Linked DNA regions of Caenorhabditis elegans. Each later gene encodes a partner of the first gene's protein in a complex. Each region holds a gene or a part of one and is shown in the gene's direction. Other genes may lie near its edges. The genes, in order: chch-3 and immt-2.

The links.
Region 2: chch-3 (region 1) and immt-2 share a complex: the UniProt entries of both Caenorhabditis elegans proteins name them as parts of the mitochondrial contact site and cristae organizing system (MICOS) complex.

What each region holds. Positions count from the first base shown.
Region 1 is NC_003280.10:9,415,405-9,421,981, forward strand, and holds chch-3 (MICOS complex subunit MIC19), read left to right. Parts: upstream 1-1,608; coding exon 1,609-1,691; intron 1,692-1,754; coding exon 1,755-1,920; intron 1,921-1,969; coding exon 1,970-2,113; intron 2,114-2,161; coding exon 2,162-2,224; intron 2,225-2,514; exon of another isoform or gene 2,515-2,603; intron 2,604-2,658; coding exon 2,659-2,712; 3' UTR 2,713-2,912; downstream 2,913-6,577. Other genes in the region: gss-1 (Glutathione synthetase), read right to left, coding at 49-152, 199-869, 922-1,026; M176.4 (lysoplasmalogenase), read left to right, coding at 5,076-5,185, 5,301-5,490, 6,002-6,217, 6,264-6,458. UniProt on the Caenorhabditis elegans protein: Plays a role in maintaining mitochondrial morphology. May act as a component of the MICOS complex, a large protein complex of the mitochondria.
Region 2 is NC_003283.11:16,786,750-16,795,456, forward strand, and holds immt-2 (MICOS complex subunit MIC60-2), read left to right. Parts: upstream 1-2,517; 5' UTR 2,518-2,629; coding exon 2,630-2,653; intron 2,654-2,699; coding exon 2,700-2,837; intron 2,838-2,886; coding exon 2,887-3,735; intron 3,736-4,514; coding exon 4,515-4,781; intron 4,782-4,839; coding exon 4,840-4,934; intron 4,935-5,295; coding exon 5,296-5,658; intron 5,659-5,707; coding exon 5,708-5,936; 3' UTR 5,937-6,024; downstream 6,025-8,707. Other genes in the region: Serine/threonine-protein kinase dkf-2, read left to right, coding at 1-271, 330-415, 1,093-1,224; pus-1 (Pseudouridylate synthase 1 homolog), read right to left, coding at 6,094-6,507, 6,964-7,299, 7,546-7,743, 7,851-8,000, 8,054-8,203; ctps-1 (CTP synthase), read left to right, coding at 8,159-8,210, 8,582-8,700. UniProt on the Caenorhabditis elegans protein: Sustains mitochondrial morphology probably through maintaining cristae morphology. May act as a component of the MICOS complex, a large protein complex of the mitochondria.

The sequences.
Region 1 (6,577 bases):
GAGTTATATCAGAAAAATTTAGCTAAACGTTGATAAAATTGTGCTAACCTTTTGTAGATGGATAATGATCAGGTGAGTATCCTGCTCTGAAGTAAACAATTGCTACTTGACGCCCATCAATCATCAAATCGCTTCTATCATTCAATGATAATCTGAAAGTTTTAACATAGAATTCTGTATTCAAATACAAAAACTTACTGTTCATAGCATTGTGTTAAATTTCTTCTAATAATACATGTCATCGGTACTCCTAACTTTTCAAGTTCATATTCCACGTGGCGTTGATCAATCTGATTTTGATTGACGTTTTCTACAACGACAAGAACCACAGCTGCTGGGTTCGAAAAGTGGGACCAGGCCTTGAATAAAGCTTCAGCGATCATTGGAATTGGCTTGTTTTCTGGAATTGCTCTTTGAATGACGTCATCGGAAATGTTCAACGCTTTAAGAACTCTGATATGCCATTCGGTGAGCCGTAGAGCATGTGCTCCCATTGACGAGGCGATATTGTTTATTTCAATTTGTTTCAGTCCATATTCCGCTGAATATTGATCCTTATGACACATATAATCAGATCGTTGAATCGCGAGAGTGACTGGTTGCTTGAGTCCTTGGGCTTTGACTTTCTTCAAGATCTCAACCATATTCCGTGTGAAATCATCAGTTTTCACGACATTTTTATGAATATCGATTAGAAAATCAAATTCATAAGCTATGAAGTGATAAAGACTTGCGAAAAGGTTCTGAATATGAACTGCTTCTTCAAAAACATTTTTCGGGAATGGAGATGGAAGAAGTGTTAATGGAGTAGTTTGACAAACTTCGCTGCTCAACTTGTCGGTTGATAGACGCATGACAAGCCCATTAGCCTGAAAGATGTTTAAAATTCATTGAAATTCGGAAATTAAGAAAAAAACTTACATGAGCCCAATCGTGAAGATCAGCGGTGAGCTCGTTGAGCTTATCATCTTCGAGCGGGAGCCTTGGAGCATTCAACAGCAAAATCCGGTCATCTTTTTGAGCCATTCTTGAAAAATTACGAATTATTTTTTCAGTTTTAAATAAATGCTTTCGAAAAATGCAAAACATGACGCGAGAGTGACAAAAATGAAATTAAGCGAGAATGAAATGAGAAAAGTGAGCACTGAAATCGTGATGACAAAACGTATAACGTGAGGTTTCTATGTTTTGTCATCATTTCTCTTTGAAGGAAGTCGGAGATATTGCTTTTCGAGTGGTAAAAGGAGGTTTGAACGAGTTTATGATAAAATCTTGGATGCTTATTTGTTGTAATTGACATGAATAATAGTTATTACATGAATTTAACAGGAAAATTTGAAAAAAAGAAAGGGATTGGCATGAAATTTGCTCCCGAAAACAAAGAACTCAAAGAGCAAAAATCATTTTGGTGCTAAACGTCACGTTTTGCGTCAAGGAGCTGCTGGCGCACATCTCGTGCACGAGTATTGCGCTAGCTATTTATTTTACGCTAATTTTTTGTTTCTATCAAAATTATTTTTCTACACACAAAACAACAAATAAACAATTCAATTTTTTATATTTAATTTCTCGTGTCTGTTTAAACTTTTATTAATCGATAATTGTCAGATGGGAGCATCCCAGAGTGCAGAACAAGAGGCACGTCCCGAAGTGGTGCGCATTGACCGAAATGAGATTCCCGAGGAGTACAAGTGAGTTTTTTACGTTGGGAATTCTTTTGAAACTAGGAAGTTTTTATTTATTCAACGTTTCAGAACCGTCGGTGTATCATCGGACGTTGTGAGCCGAGTCAATGCGACCAGAGTTGCCGGAAACGACGGAGAAAGTGACCGTCTCAGACAAGAATTGGCTCGAGAGCGTGAAGAAAAAGCTAGATTAAGAGAAGATATGGCTAAGCTCAGTCAGCTGCAACAGAGAAAGGTAAAAATCAAAAAATCTTTCCTGATAGGATTAAACTTAAAAGTTTCAGACCGCTGGAATTTCCGCCGCCCCAGTTTCGATTTCCGGAAATGATTTGGAGGAGAGAAAGAAAATTTTCGATGACACTGTTGAACGCGTTCAGAAGCAATTCTTCGCTTATCACCGTGAAAATGTGTGCCAGGATAATGAAAATGTAATTTTTAATTTGAGAAAGTTTTTGAGAATATCCAACATTTTTCAGGAGATTGTAAGATGTCTTCAAGAAAATCCAGGACGTGTTTTGAAGTGTGCTCCACTTACTGAGGTAAACTTGGGAAATTTTTTAGAATCACGAGCAAAGTAAAAAATTAAAATTTAAAAAAATATAAAAGTTGTGAAAATTGTTTTAAAACAATCACTAACCCACTTGAATTATTTGAAGTCTTGCATAACTCTCAAATTGGGAATAATTTTGAAACTATTTTTTTTGTTTTCATTTCAACTTAGGAAAAACTAAAGTATCTAAATACCAGGAAGGTTTTTTTTTTAATTTTTCAAAAAATTGAAGATTTCCGAAAATGAAAGTTTTGGCAAAATTCCAAAATTTATGAACATTTAGAGTAAATTTTGAAGGCATATCCTTTTCATCCCTCTAAAAAACACAAATACTAGTTCAATAAAACAAACAATTGTTTACATAGTTTGTAGGCTACAATTAATTAAATTGTGATACAAATTATTTTCTTTTTATAATTTCAGGCATTCGAGAAATGTGTCGGCGAGTTCAGGCAACAAGTGCTCAAGGGAAATTAAATTTCTTCATATCGATTTTTAAATACATTGTTTCATATTTCCCCACATTTTTTTGATCGTAGTGTTGTATAGGTGTGTGTGCGTGCCCCGTTTTCTCAAAACTTGTATTTCCCCCTCAGCCTCCCACCCAAAAACTTTTGCTTTTTTATTTCAAATTTTTTTGTTCCACGAACGAAACAATAAACTTCTAGGGAACTTTTAAATCCGTTTTCAAGTTATATATTCCAAAATCAAAACAGGCATTTCGCTCCTGTACCCATCTTTCCCCTTACTTAATTTTCAGATATTTTTCACTATATTTTCAGAATATTTAAAAAATCAGCTACGCGTTGTAGCAAATTTTTTTTGGTACACAAACACAGCTGATAACAACAGGACACACAACGCAGTGGGACTGATGATGGGCGGTTCCGTATTATCACCAGAAAAATGAGGTAAAACGGGTTATTTTTGAATAGATTTCAGATTTGATTCTCGCCAGTACACCTGACTAGGTTCGAATTTATTACTGTGTGGTCTTGTTGACTTTCAAGATTCTAACTTTTTAAAACTATTATATGGACACCTCGTTTACGTAGTCGTCTACAGATAACATGGTCTCGCCACGATCAACGGGTTACTGTAACTCTTGTCGATTTACGGGCCAATATTGCCTTGTCGTTTTAAAATTTGATGAATAACTTGTTAAATACAAATATAATGCAAAAGCGACTCGTAAATTGATAGGAAGTACAGTAACTTGTTGTTGTCCTCGTGGCAAGACCCATGTAGAAGATAACTTCACGCAATGGTCAATAACGCTTTATCTGGAGAGCTAGGGAGCCACCAACCAAATCTCTAGTCGTCTGGTCAATGTTTCCGAACGCACAACACTCACATTTTTCGCGCATTTTTCGTTCTAGTCGCCTCCCATGTCTTCATCTTCGCTTCCATTCTTCTTTCTTTTTTTTTGCTCCGAATGCGTTGTAGAAAAAAGTTTTTTCCAAAGTAGCAAAACGTAGCTCCATTTTTAATTCGAAAAGAACATAAATAGTCAAACTGCTTGCAAAGCAAACAAAAATCGTTTCCAGTGCCTTTTCTTAACTGATAAATATGAAATCGATTTTTTCCTGGAACAAATCAAATTTAACTAGTTCACCAATTTGAGAACAAAAATCATACAAATTTGTGACCGCGGAAGTGACGATAAAGTTCAAACAAACACTTGTTCCTTCCTATCATTGTCACGTGCCACGTGCTCACAGGATCCGGAGCCAACCCCTGAAGCATACCACAAAAGTGCACCTGACGTCTCACGCAGTTTCAGGTTAACTATCAAATTTCAGTCCTTCACTATTTCTCTTTAGAACAATTTTATCGTCCACAAAATCTAAAATCTTAACGCCTCATCCAATTAACTTCAACCTTCAAGATAACTGTAACATTCACACTTGAATCCAATTAAGTGTATCAAATTGTGTAATAACTTATTGCCAAGAAACGAGAATATATTGAGATGTTGGAAGGTTGGACACCTTTATTTACGTGTTACACACCTCCCTCTCAAATTTCCGCTTCATCCTCTTGTCGGAAGAGGTCGATGGAACTGGTTTACGCGTTTTTTATTTGGCGCAGTACAAAAAAAACACCTCTGAAAAATATGAGGTTATTGTCATTGGTTTTGAAGATTATTAGGTCTATATTTAGGTTCTTTATTTTTTTGTTGGAACGACTATTTTATTTTGAAACTTGTGTCTTCAAATGATAGTTAAAAGTTTAACGATGATTTTGAAAACTTTGGAGAATTGCCAAATTGGCCAGTTTTTGATAAATTACAAAATTTTCTTTTGTTTTGTACAGTAAATGGAATAATTTCAAACTAAATACAATTTTGCTTAAATTAATTCGTCTATCAGCATAGTGTTTTGCAGAAAAAAGACTTGTAGCTGGCTCCAACCACAAGATTCAAATAGTGATTCCTCGATCTGCAAAACTAGAGAATAGCCAATATAGTCAAGGTTCACCGCTATCAATTTCGACGACAGAAAAGTATGATGATAAGACTATCGTTGAACTCTTACTACTGCAAAAACCAACACTTGAATCCTGAAACGAATTCCTGTTTCCATCACTTTGTTGTTTTTCTAGCTTATTAGAATACGAAAGTTACATCATTTCCACTCGAGACCCTAATTGACATACCCTTCTGAAAACTAGTGCACTTAGAACATCTTACCTCCCCTTATTGGACGCTCTCGATATTAAAGTACAAGTCATTCTAAAAAGTATGTATTAGAAAATTGTCTAGCTTTAAACGTGCCCCATATTTTGTTAAAATTAATTTCCCGGCATCAATTTTTTGTTTATTTTTTTAATTCTTCCAGATGCAGTCACAGCTTTCTTCAATTGGATTGGCTTATTTCCTATTGGTAGCCAACTTTTACTACCAATCAAATGGTTTCAATGATCACTACACATTCAGCTATTCCTTTTGGTGAGTGTATATAAATTGATAACAGATTGATATAATTTCAAAGGTTCAAAGGTTTTTTTAAAATGTACATTAAAGTTCAATATTTATACTTTCATAATGTACCAAAATGTTTTAGGAAAATAACTCCAATCATTCTACTTGTTGCTTTTGCATACTTAAATGGAGGTGGACTAGGAAAAGAGCAACGCAAAACTGCTGCCGCTGGCTTGTTCTTCGGAGGAGTCGGTGATTGGATTATTGGAATGCGCCATGATGGAATCATTTTGGGAGCTGTCGCTTTTGGAATTGGTCACCTCTTTTACTTGGTGAGTTTGGTCATTGAAGACATAATTTCGAGATGTAACAATCAAATATCATGTACGTGGTACTTTGACACTTAGATATTAACTCGGTCCAGAAGAAAAATTTGGGTAGAAGATTGACAAAAGATAGGCATCTAAACTTGGGCCTGGTCGAAGCCAAGTTTCACCCAAGTGTGGATTAAGTTTATATTCCGAACCAAGATAAGAATTTTCGGACAATGCTAAGCATGTGGTTGTTGCCCAAATACCAAGTTTAATAAAGGAAAAATTCGTAAATATAGATTTCTCCAATATTTTTTTATCAACAGATCAATTTGACAGTAATTCAGAGTTTCAAAAGGTTATTATTACACAAAAAGATTATAAAGAACATTGTTAGTAGTCTTTAAAAAAATAATCGGGGGATATTCAGAGAATCGCTAACTATTTTCTAAAAATTGGAGAAATGTCAAAGAACAGTTTCTGAAATTTTTTACCTATGCTCAGAATTATCAATTATCACAGAGCTTTTCAGAGTCTCTACCGGCAACATGCCACCAAAATTCATACAAAGTTCCTTCTTGGAATGTTGGCATGGGCTTTAGTCATTGGACAACTTTGCTTCATTCCGATGCTTGCTGATCATAGAGGCCCATTGACTGTCTTTGCCAGTTATTCACTTCTTCTATCAACGTGTACGTTGATAGCTGTCTCACAGTATCTCAATGGATCAAAGTCACAGAATGAAGAGGTTTGATTTAACTGCACATTTGATATAATACAATTTTCTATTGCAGGGGCTCCTCTACCGTGCCATTGGCTTCTTCCTCTTCTACATCTCAGACTCGGTGCTCATGCTCTCACACACTGGATATTGGAAGTTGGCTCCATCATTCTGTGTCCTCTCAACCTACTACTCTGCTCAATATTTCATTCTTTTTGGAAATACGATGGCTGTGAACCCTGTGAAAAAATCTGTAAAAATCAACTGATGATCACTAACTTCTGAACCTGTACATATTCTATTTACAGTGTATTTCTCCCTTTTTCCTATTTTTTGAAAATATTTCTTACAATTATGACTAGACTACCTAATGTCAGAAGCTTTAAT
Region 2 (8,707 bases), on another chromosome or scaffold:
CAAGTCAAGCTTTGCGATTTCGGATTCGCTCGAATCATTGGAGAGAAGAGCTTCAGGCGGAGTGTCGTCGGAACGCCTGCCTACCTGGCGCCTGAAGTTCTACGGAACAAGGGATTCAATCGATCGCTCGACATGTGGAGTGTCGGTGTGATTGTCTACGTCTCACTGTCGGGAACGTTCCCGTTCAACGAGGACGAGGATATCAACGATCAGATTCAGAACGCCGAATTCATGTACCCGCCGACACCGTGGAAGGAGATCTCTGAGAATGGTAGGGCGAATACTTTTGTTAGAAAAGAATCTGTGAGATTTATTGAATTCTTTTGCAGCTATCGAATTCATCAACGGACTGCTCCAAGTTAAGATGAGCAAGCGGTATACGGTGACGAAAGCGCAGTCGCAGATCTGGATGCAGGTAGGCATATGGAGACCTTTTTTGGGTCTCGCAGCGAAAATTTTTTCGAGCTGAAAAAGTTAAAAAAAGAAAATTAAAGATTTTTTCTGTGAATTGAAAGCTGAACTTTTTTTTACTTTCTACTGTAAAAATTGTGAAAAAAAATTCTAAAATATTTTTTTAACGAAAATTTAAAATTTTCAAAATTTGGGGAAAAAACACAAAAATCAGGAAAAAATACGAAAATCTCTTTTTTTTTAATTTGAAAAAATCCGAAACATCGGCTTTAAAAAATTTCGAATTTAGAAAAAATGTTTGAAATTTTTTTTTAATAGCAAAAAAAAGTTTTACCTGCAAAAAATCGGGAAAAAAATCCGAAAAACTTAGAAAAAAATTGTATTTTTTTAATTTGCAATCATTTTAAAATCATATGAAATTTAGAAAAATCCAAAAAAAGTAAAGAAAAATTGCAAAAAAAAATAATTTTAATCCAAAAATCCGAAAAAAAATTTACTTACAGAAAAATCGGTTTAAACATTTTTTTAAGGATAAATAAAAATTGTTTTAAGCGCAAAAATCCTTTGAAAAAAAATAATACAAATTGCAAAAAATGCATTTTTTTTTTGTTGGTTTTTCAATAAAAAATAATTTCGAAAATTAATTTTTTTACGAAAAAATTGAAAAACTTTTTTTTTCAGAACTACACCCTATGGTCGGATCTACGAGTACTGGAAAAAGCTGTCGGTCAACGATTCGTAACTCATGAAAGTGATGATGTGAGGTGGCAGGCTTACGAAAAAGAGCACAATGTGACTCCGGTCTACGTATAATATCCAGCAGCAGGACCCCCAGAGAAACTTTTCATATTTTTTGCATCTTCTTGTCACATATCCATTTAAATTTTATTTCGTTTTTTCTTGTTTCATAATTTTTTTTCCAAATTTTCTCACTCACATTCCCTGTGTTCCCACACCCATTTCTTAAAACATTCCTAGTCGAAAAATCCTCCTAATTTTTACGTTTTTCCCCGTTTTTCACCAAAAAATCGGAATCCAACCCCCACCCAGCGCACACAAAATTTGCCATATGATCCTCGAAAATTTCCCGATTTTTTTCCAAATTTGTCCAATTTTTACCAAAATTTGTTCTTTTCTATTCACTTTTCACCGCAAAAAATGTTTGAAATTTCATCAGATTTTCTTGTCTAATGATACGCCCGAAGATTTATTTATATATGTGTATGTTTTGATTGAATTATTACTTTTTCTTTATTGAATGAATTGGTGTAACTGAAAATATATTTTATATTTTTTTGCAAACAAACAATGACAATTTGATCGAAACAAATGAGGAAACAAATTTTTTTATTTTTTCTTCCAAAATTGTTCCATCAGAAAAGCTAGATTTTCCAATAATTTAGACACAAGTTGTTAGGGCTAGATTGTTTTGTTCTGGAAGTTCAAATTTCTGAGAAAAATCATTTTCCAAGTTTCAACTATAGAAATCGCACCTAAAAAATTGTTTTTGAATTATTGGAAAATCTAGCTGTCCTGTTGAAGCAAATTTGCATTTTTTGGAAAATACTTAAGACAAACATTTATTTCAGCTAGATTGTTTTGTTCTGGAAGTTCAAATTTCTGAGAAAAATCATTTTCCAAGTTTCAACTATAGAAATCGCACCTAAAAAATTGTTTTTGAATTATTGGAAAATCTAGCTGTCCTGTTGAAGCAAATTTGCATTTTTTGGAAAATACTTAAGACAAACATTTATTTCAGCTAGATTGTTTTGTTCTGGAAGTTCAAATTTTCGAATTAGAAATCGAACCTAAAAAATTGTTTTTGAAATATTGGAAAATCTCGCTGTTAGAACGCCAGATTAAACTAAAAAGTTAGAACGCCAGATTAAATTATGCAGCAACCACCATGAAGTCGCTGCCGATGAGCTTTTGTGCGCGCTTGGGTGCCGATTTGAAATCAATTAGCTGAGAGGAAACCATTTTTCCAATGAAGACTCTTCTGCTTCGCTGAAATTTGCCAAAAAATGTCAAAAAATCTATCGAGTTCACAATCCAGGACTACGGTAGACTTTGAAATCTGCATTCTGACGTGACCGTGTACACGAAAGTACGTGACACGTCAAACAGATTTAAAAATCTTTTTTATATAATTTTTCCAATTTTTCAATCATTTCGAGCGGTTTTGAGTGTTATTCTTCAGATTTTTAATTCAAAAGTCATGCGTGGAAGTCGTAATTTATTGGTATGTTCATATTTATTAAATATTAATCAAATTCGGGAACTTTCAGACTCAGCGACTGGCTTCTTCTCGAGCAACTGGTTCTTCGGGAGGTCTCAAGTTTGTCGGAGCCACTGTTGGAGCGGTAACTGCTGGTGCAGCAGGAGTTGCTGGATACGCTTCTTATGATAATGAGTTCAGAAAGAAGGTTTTAAAATTTAAAATTAAAAAAAAACAAAAAAAAAATCAAATTCCAGCTAGAAGGCGTGATTCCCGGTTCTCGAACTATTTTGAATTACACGATCGGAGAAGAAGAACCGCCGGCGCCTCGTCTTAAAGATCTTCGACCTCTGCAATATTCCGCAGATCCGAAAGTTCCACCAAAGCCATTTGAGCCGAAGCCCGTGAAAAAAGAGCTGATCGGAGTTAAGGAGAACCTGAAAGAGACTACTGAACCAAAGAAAATCGAGAAAAAGCCCGAAAATCCATACATCGGCGCGAAGACTCCACTGAATCCCCAGGAAAGGAACGAAAAGCTCACGGAATCCCTGAAAAACCACCTAACTCAAGCCGAAAAAGCCACGAAAGTTGCGACTAGCGCCAAATTGGAAACGATTCGAGCTATTGAGCATCACGTTCAGACAATTCGTGAGGCTATTGAAGCTGGAAAAGACGGAGATTGGGATTCAGTGACTGTTGCTCATCTGAAGGCAAAACGGCTCGCTGAAAAGGATGAAAAAGCCGAGAAATTGGCTAGAAATGCCGTCGCTGACCTTGTCACGGAGGCAAACCTCGGCGGTCAAGGTGAGACTACTCAGCTGAATCCACTGGTTCCAATCTCAAAAGCAACTGCTGAAAAGCTCTCAAACGAGCTGGATGAGATGATTTCAAACGTGAAACATGTCGATTCGGAGCGTATTTTCGTGCATGACTACAGTGATCGTGTAGCGGAGAGCCGCAGGAAATTCCAAATGGAACTGAAAGCAGTTCATCCGAATTTGAATTATGAAGATGGAATGAAGATCAAAAAAGCGGATTTGCACACGATTTTGGCTCATGCTCACTTGAGAATTGATCAGCTCAGCCAGAAATTGATTGATAGCAAGGCAAATATTCATTTTTTTGGCATAGTTGTAAAGAAAATTGCGTTTAAATCTCAATTTCTCCTCTAAAGTCGATTTTTCGAATTTTTCCTGTGAATTAATGCATTTTTTCCTGAAAATTTTGAAAAAAGAACGAAAAAAAATTGAAAATTATGTGTGTCGATTTACGCAGCTCGTGTACTCCCCGAGGAGAAGTTTTATTACAGTTTTTCAGCTGAAATGCTTGATTTTGGACTATTTTCACCTAAATTTAATAGCCAAATCGCAAATTTATCACATTTTACTATTCCACTAGAAAAAAGAAAAATTCCAGTTTTCAAATAGTTAAACCGCAAAATGTGGTTTTTATGTATCTCTAAAAAATAAAAAGCGATAGTTATGTGAAAATTGTCGGTTTGGCTTTTGAAAACAGGCAAGAATGGTCTAAAATCGCGAATTTCAGCTGAAAACTTTAAAAAAAACTTCTCCACGGGGAGTACACGATTGGCGTAAATCTACACGAGACGCTGGAAGAGTTTTACACGGTCATTCTGCAATTCTGGCATTTTTTCCGATTTTCCGGAAAATATAAAATTTTTTATAGAAAATTAACAATTAAATTCAATTTAAAAAAACATGATTTTCTTAATTCAAAAATTAAAGCCTTTTTTTGAAAATCTGTTTTTTTCAGATTTCAATGAAAAATGTTAATTTTCCCGATTTTTCAACAAATTTCCTCAAAAAGAAACCAAATTTTAAATGTTTCAGCTCCGAATTCCCGTTTTTTATCGATTTTTTTCCAGCTAAACGAGGAAAAACGCATCCAATCGATCATTGCAAAGAAGAAGGAAGATCTTCTCGAAAAGCTTCGTCTCGAGACCAATGCCAAACAGGCCGCAGTGATCCCAGAGTTCGATAAGAAGAAGCTCGACGCGGAGCTCGCTCGTGCCACTGCTGAAATTCAGAAAAAATACGACGAAAAGCTGAAAGAAGTCGTTCGAACTCAGAAGCAGCTGTACGATATTGAGCACGCGAAGGATGTAGATGAAGCTGTTCTGAAGGAGAGAAATGTATAAAATTAACGATTTTTCCGGATTTTATTTGTTTAAAAATTGAAAAAAATTTCAGCTCCACTCGTCGGCGGTCGGAAAAGCGTTGGCTCAGCTGGCTGGAATTGAAAAAGCGCTTTCTGGACATCTTCAAATGGATATTGAGAATAGAAAGTACTGGATTTAATGTCGATTTACGCGGGCTCTTGTACTACACGACGAGAATTTTAAAGTTTTTTTTCTGAAAATCTCAATTTTGGAGTACTTTTCCTGCTCTTTACCCTTTAAAATGACCAAAATATCCTATTTTTGGCTGAAATTTTTGGTATTTGGCAATTTTTGCTTGATTTTAGCATTCCAAATAGTCAAAATATCGATTTTCATTTAAAACTCGATGAATTATTGATATTTTGACTTTTTTTTTAGTTAAATTCAAGCGTAAACAGTCCAAAATCGACAATTTCAATCAAAATCCGCCAACTTGTGCGAAAATGTTTTGAATCAAAATCTGAAAAAAATCCCACCATTTTTCCAGATCGAAACAAATGTGGCTAGCCACCCAAAATCTGAAGGGAACTGTAATTTTCGGAAATCGAGCCAGCTGCTGCATGGAGGGAAGACGTGCTCCACTGGGAGATCAAATGAAGACACTTCTCTCGTGCTGTGGTGGTGGAAACTCTGATGAATTCGTGAAAACCATCAATACGGCAATGTCGAAAACCTCAAAAGTCCGCGGGGAGTACACGGAGCAGGATCTGAACACACGCTTCAACAAAGTCTGCCGAATCGGACGTCGTGTTGCCTATGTCAATGAAGGTGGAGCTCTGGCTCATCTCTACTCGTGGCTCAAGTCTTCCCTGACTATTGAGCTCGTCCCGAAGAAGGGTGCTAATGAGAGGTAGTAGTGTCTGAAATGATATCTATCTGTAAAAAAACTATAATTTCAGCCTGACCCCAGCTGTCGAGAACAACTTCACCTTGCTCACACGTGCCGAGCAACTCTGGAAGTCTGGCAAAAAGTCCGACGCGATTCGTGTTCTTCAGCTGACCGACGGGGCCACCCGTAGAGTTGCTGCCGATTTCATCGCTGATGCTCGCCGCCAACACGAGGCACTTCTTCTTTCACGTCTTCTGCTCGCCCACGCGGCTCTCACCTCCATTCGTTCCACTTATTAATAATTATTGAATATGCCAAGTAGTACGTCGTCTGTTGTCTGTCTGAGAATTATGTGTTCTCTCAAAATAATAAAATTATTATTATTTTTTACTTTTAAACAATTTATCAATCAACAAAAACAACAAATTTTACAGCAGTTAAATCAAAAATTATAAATTATCCAGACGACGTCGCTGCTACTGGCTCAGGAGTGACTTCTGCTGGAGCCTCGGCTTCCTTCGGAGCATCTTGAGCCTCTGGAGCAACACCATCCTGCTCCTTGGCCGCCTTGCTCGCACAAGCCGCCGCCATCGTCACAAAAGTCTTCTTCTCGGGCTCCTCAGCTTCCGCATTAGCCGTGAAGTCGTGATGAACAAGATCCGCAAGCCATTTGAGCATTCCCTGAGTGAGCAGCTCCGTCTCGATCATATCCTTGGTGATGAGCTCGAACTTGGTCCGCTCGATTTCTTTTTCGATGATCTCTCCCCAATCGGTCAGTGGTTCGTGGGATTTTGAATTCTTTCGATCGTAGGAATCGTAATGAGTCCGCTCGAGGAGGAGACCCAGTCCTGGAGCCATTGGGATATCCATCTGAAATTTTTTATTTTTTTAAGTTTAAAAGTTTTCGGCTAAAATGCTAGATTTTTGCACTTTTTAATCTCTTTTTCATTTGGATTTCGTTAGAAATTAATTATTTTCGTCTAAAAAAGGTGTTAAACTCGTGAAAAAGCGGCAAAATTGCGCGAAAACTGTTAAATTTTGCGGAAAATAATTCGAAATTGTCCACGAGGAGTACACGCTTGCGTAAATCTACACAATTCTTAAAGGGACATGTACCTCGTGCGCGTGATCTCGCAACGATGCGCGTTTGCCGCTTCAAAATAGGGTTTTTAAAATATTTTTTGGTGAAAAAGATTTAAAAAAACACAAATAATGTTATATTTTCACACTTTCGACGCGAAAATATCGAAAAAATGTTTAAAAATTGTGTTTTTTCGACTGTTTGAAGTTGAAAAAACACCGAAAAAACAGGAAAAAAACACGAACTCGCTGTCCCTCGAATGATCTTTGAATCGACGACTTTAAATGCAGTTCCCGAATGACTGTAATCACCATTCCGACCATTTTTCGAATCTGATGAAGTACAAATGATTGTCCTTTAATCACAATTTGCACGAATTCCACGTCTTCTTTACGAAAATCGTCACGAAAAAGGAATGGTTCTTTGCATTCGAATGAGATAATGTATCGATTGGAGCTCATATCATCGTAGGCTCTTTTAGCGGTATAATTGAAGAAATTGTGGGTTCCGAGGTAGATTGAGAGAATACTGTTCACCTCTGCCAAGGTTTCCGGGGAAAGTCGGAAAGAGGAGTTGGTGAGCTGGAAAATCAAGAATTTTTAGAGATTCTCACGGAATATCAGCGGGAAATTCGATTTTTCGATCAATTTTTGCCCGAAAATACAGGTTTCCAGTCTTTTTTCGCCTGAAAACTTGATTTTTCAGTCTATTTCCGCAGAAAATTCACATTTTCAGCGTGAAACTAAAATTTTCGGTCAAACTTTGCCGGGAAATTCAATTTTTCAGCTAATTTTCGGCGAAAAATCCAAATTTAGCCTCTTCTATACCTCCGTAGGCTTTGCAAACACAAAAGATGGACACGTGTAGCTATAGGTTCGATGATCACACTGCTTCTGTGGATGGAAGAAATTCGTGGTCCGACGCATTCCAAAAACACGAATATCGGCTGGAAGAATGTTGTTAAGAATTCCAGCTCCCTCAGCTTGATACTTGGCGTCATCTCTGGGTAGTTGCATTCCGCACATCTGGAAAAATGATATAAAATTCGCTATTTTTTCCTTTTTTCAATGAAGTTTTTCGGCTTTTCAGTGAAAAAAACACTGATAACAGCAGCAAATTAGTAAACTCCAACCTGTCTAGCAGCTGATACTGCCCTATCAGTTCTCGCCGCTCTTTGAAAAAAGAAATCAAATGGTTTTTCTTTTTGAGCGGTCGTGATCCAACCGGCCGTCTCCATTGCCTCAAGAAGCTTTGATTCAATTGTGGGCAGGTCTTTTTGAAGCTAAAAATTAATTAAAATTTATCAATTTTGACCTTTTTTTTATCTTATCAGACCTGCATGCCGTAGTATTTTTTGCCTTGATAGCCTAAAAGCATCGCATATTTTGCCTGCTTTACTCTTGGCTTTTTAGGTTCCTTGTGCACACCACCCGATTGAACATGGTTGAGCTTGTCGACGGTTTGCTCCTCAACGGTTTTTGTCATGATTCGGGTGAGCCTTTGGAGCAGTTGTTTGAGCATAAAATAGGGCGAATGCCGGCTGAAAGAATTAAATTTTTGATTTTAACAAAAGAAAATAGCGAAAAAGATCACAAAGTATCAAAATAAGACGAGAAACTTAAAAAGAAAAAACGCAAATATTAAATACAAAAATCGAAGGCAAAGTCACGCCATGGGTGCCTGCTGGCGCACTTCGTGCCAGTGTCATTGGCGCGTTTCTCGTGCCCGCGAAAAAAATTTAAAAACAAATTTGTTTTGCCATTTTTTGCCTAAAAACACTCGCGTTTTTTGATTTTTGACCTCAAAAATGTGAAATTTTAATTTCATAACACGAATTTTATCAATTTATCTCGTCTATTACAGAGATGCCGGGCGAAAAACGCGTAAAATACATTCTGGTGACCGGCGGAGTCATTTCTGGCGTCGGAAAAGGCATCATTTCGTCGAGTTTGGGCGTTTTGCTCAAAAATAATGGATACAAGGTAATTG